2 linked regions of the Caenorhabditis elegans genome follow. The protein of the gene in region 2 interacts with the protein of the main gene of each other region in a pairwise test. Each region holds a gene or a part of one and is shown on either strand. Other genes may lie near its edges.

What was found.
Region 1: the proteins of pbs-2 (region 2) and pbs-7 interact in a two-hybrid assay, tested with the Caenorhabditis elegans proteins (2 studies listed by BioGRID).

Annotation. Positions count from the first base shown.
Region 1 is NC_003279.8:8,694,394-8,697,900, forward strand, and holds pbs-7 (Proteasome subunit beta), read right to left. Parts: upstream 1,909-3,507; 5' UTR 1,900-1,908; coding exon 1,868-1,899; intron 1,822-1,867; coding exon 1,716-1,821; intron 1,665-1,715; coding exon 1,486-1,664; intron 1,441-1,485; coding exon 1,329-1,440; intron 1,252-1,328; coding exon 970-1,251; 3' UTR 812-969; downstream 1-811. Other genes in the region: K07A12.5 (Pre-mRNA-splicing factor SYF2), read right to left, coding at 1-81, 128-265, 381-492, 545-686, 730-751; F39H11.1 (Craniofacial development protein 1), read left to right, coding at 2,214-2,312, 2,361-2,593, 2,641-2,685, 2,761-2,923, 2,973-3,107.
Region 2 is NC_003279.8:12,966,601-12,970,076, reverse strand, and holds pbs-2 (Proteasome subunit beta), read left to right. Parts: upstream 1-1,796; 5' UTR 1,797-1,797; coding exon 1,798-2,376; intron 2,377-2,434; coding exon 2,435-2,689; 3' UTR 2,690-2,861; downstream 2,862-3,476. Other genes in the region: eif-6 (Eukaryotic translation initiation factor 6), read right to left, coding at 55-414, 688-795, 845-1,117.

The sequences.
Region 1 (3,507 bases), 4.3 Mb from region 2:
GTTGTCCTGTTTATCTTTCCTTTGCTCCAAACTGATTTTCTGTTTCTTACGAAGAGCGTCCAGTTCCTTTTCACGAGCTGCCTAAAGTTCATGGTTAAAGTAAATTTCTCTATAATCTCTATGTTACGTGATCACGAATCGACACAAACTTTTTTTGTGGAGCCAAAGTGGATAAGTAGTATTCTTTCAATCGTCCAAATTCTACATCAACTTTCACTCCTTGACGATTGACAACCGTATTGGCTCGTTGCATCTTTGGATGGCGCTGAATTTCAAGAAATAATGTATTTCTTTTTAACTTTTTAGATGGATAGTAAAAACCGTAATTAAGCACTTCCTTTGCGCGGCGAGATATATATATATATATACTGTATGCTTACCACGTCTGAATTTTTCGATTTCGAAACGTATTGAGACTGCGTATGAAAGATTTCAACTACTTGCTCCTTTCGAAATTCTTCCCAATTTTTCAGTTGTTTCTGAGCATCCTTCCTGGAAACCAAATCAGATAAGTTATTACATATACATCAATTTATTTAATTACTTGTGAGTTTCATACTGATCATCACTCAGTTTATACCGCTGCTGCATCTTCTTTTTGTAGCTCATCTTCTTCGCCTGTTTCTTTTCATAATCAGATTTCTGTTTATCAGGCGATGGTGATAAACTGAGCTTTTGGAGTTTACCTGAAAGCGCTCGATTTTACTTTAAACCAAAAACTCATCATACTTTTTAAACCAGAGAAATTCATGCTCGCTATTTTTGACTCGAGCACTTGTGAAATGATGCGTGTGAATACTTAGACGTGAATAGAAGGATTAAATGGAAGTTTATTTATCGACTTCACGCGAAAATAAATAAAATTTACACCGAAAACGTGGGTTGGAGAGAGTAAAATGTTTTGAAAAGAAGGATACAAATAAGTTAAACATGGAGATACTGAAACGCATCCTGCACACCGGGGAAAACTTATTCATATTGACAGTTAGTCTCGGCAATCGACCAGTCACCAATAATCTTCTCTTCTTTACCCAAAACGACACCTTCTGTCGCATCAACACGTCCGATTTCGAACTCATTGTCAGCGACGCAGTCGTGGTAGAGAGTAAGTTCAAGCGATTTGCGAAGCACGGCTTCTGCCTCTTCACGGGAGAGGTCTTCTCCCTTCTTTCTCCACTCATCTTCAACAGCTTGGTTGAGGAGGAACGCTCCAAGTCCAGTTGCAATGTGCTTCACTTGATATGCGCATCCCTGAAATTTAGAATAATTATTATGTGATTATTTAATCATGAGATTCTGATCCGGCAAGTTAACGCTTTCAAGTTTACCTTCTGAGTAATGACACCGATGAAAGGTGTGCTAGTCTCCTTGTTGTTCTTCTCCTCCTCTTCGACTCCGGCGACAACAAGTGTGTTCCACACTGGGTTCATCTTGCAACGTCTGAAATTTTTTACTTAAACTTTCAATTTAATTAGGAAAACAGACTTGGCGTAGAGAAGGCTTGTGAGGTATCCGTGGAGAGCTTTTGGTCCAATATCCTGATCGAAGCGCTTCCAGAGAAGAACCTGACGCTCGATCACATTTTGAAGCCAGTGGAAGTCAGCGTGATCTCCTCCGAAGGCAATGAGAACATTATCATTGACCTTGTATTGACGAGAAACATTCTGGAAACAAATATTATGAAAATCCACTTTCAGCTGAACGGAAATTCAAACCTTGTAACGAGCCATTTTTCCATAGGAAACAACTCGATCAGTAAGGACAACAACCCCAGTTTTATACTGGAGAGCGATAACCGATGTTCCGGTACAAGTAGGATTCCTGAAAAATTGAGTTAATTCAAACGAATATAGGTTTAATGACTTACAGTGTGCGCTGGACTTCGTCGTGAGCATTCATTTTGGTTCTGAAACAATATAAATGAAGTTTTTGAAGGGAGTGCTTTGAAAAAATGAAAGGAAGTGAATTTCGACAATGAAATGCAAAAATGGCGGCTAAGTCATCATAAAGCATGTGCGCTCCGTCGAATTTTACACTGAATACCACGCACAATTGCGTACTTCAATAAGAAAAATTATCTCGCGCTACTTTTTTTGAGATAATATTATAATATAAATTAATTCATATTTTATAAATATATTAATTCATATTTTATTCTTTTGAATTCTCACTGAAATTGTGAAACTATTTAAAATATAAATTGTTTCAGAAAAATGACCTCGGAGCTTAAAAATAACGAAGAAGACTACAACTCATCGTCCGATGAAGATTACGATCCAACAAAGGATACCGATTTTGATCCAAAGGATGAAGTAAGCATTCCTAGATATCGCCCTTTTATTGCTCATTCTCCTCAACAGATCGATGATCAAGAAGAATGCGAAGATGGAATTGACGAAGAAGTTGAACATCTGAAAAATGAAAAACAAAGTGACGACCATACATCAGAAAAGGCAAACAGTACTGAAGGAAGTGTTGATGTGGATGCGATATTTGCAGAATTAACTGGGCTAGCACCGAAACCAGTTGTCAACGATACATCAAGCAAGAATATTCCAAAAACTGAAGAAAGGGTGTATCCAAAATCAGCAGCGTATGTTTGAAACAAGTAGAAATAACTTTTAAAAATGTATTTTACAGATCTGCATCCAACGAGTCTACAAATCAGAAGGTTTATCCGAAAAAGTGAGTTGACATGAGTTTTTATTTGATACAAATTTAAAAACAACTTTTTCTTATTTTTCTAATAATTTTTTTCAGAACGGAAACAGCTGGAACATCGTCTGAAAGTAGCATTGTACCCGGAAAGAAAAGAGTCGGCTTGCTTGATGCTGCAAAATCACTGTCGAAGCGTTCTAAAATTTCTGTTTTGGAGAAATCTGATCGAGATTGGAAAGATTTTACGACGCAAAATAATTTAAAAGTATGTTTCTTTAAGTTTAAGGTTTTTGAATAAATTGTTTGTTTTTCAGGAAGATTTGGAATCTCATAACCGAGGGAAAGGCGGTTATCTGAACAAAATGGACTTCTTAAACCGAGCTGATAATCGCCAGTTTGAAAAAGAACGAGCGTTCCGTGCAACAGCTCGTAAGGACACTGGACAGTAAATAATTCTTTATTTTTTCAATTGAATCTTTTTTGTGATTTTCTGGTTTCTTTGACAATTCGTAACTTTGAAAAATTCATAAACCTTCTGTAAAGATACGGACATTGAAATTTAATCATGAACATATTTAATGGACAAAAACGAGAAAAATGGTAAAGGGAGACAATAACTAAATCTAGAAAAAGGATGAATCATGAAAAGGGAATTGTAGAAAAATCACATTCTAAAATAATTAAAATGAAATACAACAACTTTGGGAAAAGGTAGGTTACAGTTTTATAATACGAACTCGTTTGTTTTTAAGGACTTTTTGTGGAATTTTTGCGAATTGTTTCAGAACAAAAAAAAATCTGCTACTTGTTTTTAAAACTGGGATTCATGAGGAAAAATAGATAATGGAA
Region 2 (3,476 bases):
AAAAAAGGTGGGAAAACAATGAATGGTAGATCAAAAAAATAGTGAGAAAAAAGATTAGAGCATGCTCTCAATCAGAGTATCTCTGAGCTGATTGCTGATGCTTGTCGGAGCTCCTTGCTCGCCGAGCTTGAAGATCGATTCGACGACGGACAGTTCGGTAGAAGTGGAGTCGAGTCCACAAAATGCGACCCAATCGTTGACGACCATACCGGCTCCGATGAGCTCGGATCCTCGGTTGCATGTTCCGGCGACGACTGGGATTTGAAGGAGAGCGGCGATTTCTCGTTGGGTCTCTGGTGGAGTACGGGCGGCCACGAGGCAACCGTTAGAGCTGAGAATGCAGTAGCTGCCGACGAGCGAGTTTTGGGCGAGACTGACACGGAATACTTCCACTTTGAGCACTTCGACGAGCGCCTGAAAGAGAAAATTTAGGAATTTTTGTAGTTTGTAGTGTGAACATTGTTAATTTCAGTATGTTAAGCCAAGCATTTGAATCAAAAATTAATAAGAAAGTTATGAAAATTGTCCGTTTCCGACTAAAGTTTGGGTCTTTTTCGAACTTTTGAACAAAAAATAAATATCATTTTCAGAACAATCGAACATTTTTCGACGATTCTTTACTAACTTTCGATTAAAAAAGTGGGAATATCACACTGAAAGTCGCAGTTCTGTAGGATTTCTCCTTACCTGCTCAGTTTCTGCGCTAATTTCTGCGTGAACAATAGCGACGTGGTCGTTACAAGCGATAACATTTCCCAAAGCGGAAAGACGCTCGTCAACTCTGCGAATTGCGACCTGAAAATTCAAATTTTAAATATTTATTCTCAATTTCCTGCCCGCATACCTCATCTGGAAGCGAGTTTCTCAAGTGTTGAAGCTCCTGATCAGTCGTGGCGTTTGGTACGAGAAGTCCGTGACGATTTCCGACTGTAAGTCTTCCGACAATTCTGGTCGAGGCGATCGACGTGTGCACGACTGGGATGAGATCGCTGAGCTCGGCCTCCAAAATACTGTAAAAGTTCTGAGTGCCACCGACGCCGACGAGGCAGTAGCTGTTGGTGAGGGTGCAGAACACACCGACATCGTTCGATCCTTCGTAATCGACGCGGAGAGCCATTTTCAACCGGGAAACTGGAATTTTTTTTGAAAATTAATTGATTTAATATCGAGAAAATAGTAAAAATTGATTGGAAAAACGAGAAAGAATGGGTGTTAGCAAGACAAATACAAACTACAAATGGGCGGAGCTTCGAAATGTTGTGCAATATTGAATAACAGGGAATTTTCATTTTCTATAGGCAGTTTTATATGAAATTACTTAAAAATGAACGAAAAATTCAATTTTTGAATTTTAAAACTCAAAAAGTCAATGAAAAACTTAAGATTAAAAGTTTTAGGCAGAGATTTTCAATTGAAAAATAAAATAAAATTAACGGAAATTTTTTGGTGCAAACACGCTCCACGGAACTCTACAAATTTGCGTTATTTCGGAGTGTCGTTGCGATGACTTTGAAAAATCTTTTTGTCAGCATTCCAACATTTTTCGAAGTTTTCCACCATTTTTCCTGCTTTTCTAGCGTATTTTTGATTAAAAATTTGTAGAAATTAAGTGGAAGTTCGCTATTGAATAGGTTATCTGCAGAAAATCACTTGTGAGACAGCAGAAATCAGGGAAATCGAAGTTTTTCGTTAATCAGTTTTTTCTAGATGGTTTTCCGTATTTTTCCTGTCATTTTTATTGTTTTTTTTTCTCAAAATGTTTTGTGAGATCTTTTCAAATACAACATTAATTCCAGAATGGCCACCGCTGACGTCAAATCCACCGTCCCACACATGGACATGGACCGTGGAGGCGCGTTCGACTTCTCCAACTGCATTCGTAATCAGGCAATGTGCAAGATGGGCGGAAAGGCTCCAAAGCTCACCAGTACCGGAACCACCATCGTCGCCGTTGCCTTCAAGGGCGGACTTGTGATGGGAGCTGATTCCCGTGCCACCGCCGGAAATATCATCGCCGATAAGCATTGCGAGAAGGTTCACAAGCTCACTGAGTCGATCTATGCCTGCGGAGCCGGAACCGCCGCCGATCTCGATCAAGTCACAAAGATGCTCTCTGGAAATCTCCGTCTTCTGGAATTAAACACCGGGCGCAAGGCTCGTGTGATCACCGCTCTTCGTCAAGCTAAGCAGCATCTTTTCAACTATCAAGGATACATCGGAGCCTACTTGCTCATTGGAGGAGTCGATCCAACTGGCCCACATCTTTATATGTGCTCCGCCAACGGAACTACAATGGCCTTCCCATTCACAGCTCAAGGATCTGGATCATATGCAGCTATCACTATTTTGGAGCGTGATTTTAAGGTTGATATGACGGTAAGTAGTCTATTTTTGAATTCCAATGCGCTAAAAATACTATAATTATATTTTTCAGAAAGATGAAGCCGAGAAGCTTGTCCAACGCGCCCTGGAAGCCGGTATGCACGGTGACAACGCCTCAGGAAACAGTTTGAATCTTGTGATCATCGAGCCAAGCGAGACCGTCTTCAAGGGGCCAATTGTGCCAGAATTCTGCAAGCGACCAGAGCCCAACGACCTCGTCTACAAATTCCAGGCCGGAGCCACCAAGGTGCTGAAACACAAGACCTACAAGTACGACGTCGTCGAGTCCATGGATATCACTCACTAAATTGCGGTCTTCTGTCGATGTGTGTATTCTTTCCCCCAATTATTTATTTTTTTTCGATTTTCCATCCGTTTCGGTGTCGTCGGTGATTACTTTTTTCGGTATTTTCGTATCCGCCGGCAGTTCTTATCACATTTGTTTTATAAATTCCGAATATAAACTGTCTATTTTCCTTAAAACTGGTATTGTTTGTTGTCTTAATTTGGACTGAAAGCCGGAAAAATGACTTGAAAAACGCTTTCAAGTGTTTTTCCCAATAGTAAAAGTTACTCTCCGGGTTTTAAAAGGAAAAAACTGCGAAATGAATAGATTTTCCAGATCTGAATTGAAAACTTTCTGCGAAAAACTAATTTCCACCTGAATTCTTCTCAAAAGTCAAGAGAGAAGAGTCAAAACTCACAAGAAAAAAATAATCCGATTTGAATTGCCGCGCAGAGAGTTAGATGTGCAGGTCATATAGCAAACACGCTCCACCCACCAATCATTGGCGCGAAACATTTTTTTGTATCTTGTTCTGACTCATTTCCCTGCCTTCCCCGTCGTAATCAGTGTCGTTTTTCCGAAAAATTCCAAATTTTATCATTATTTTATCAGTTTTCCATAGTTTACCCTCATTCGGCCGTGTTCCGGCCCTTTCAAAAATGTTTGTTTTCACGTAAAATCGAATTTTGAAGACGTGAAGCTTCTTCAAGTTGAAATTCAACATTTTCAAATCATTTTGCGATTTCACAAGACGGTTTTCTGCTGCATCTTCCTTGATTAATCTCCGAAAGCACGTATGTTTCAAAAT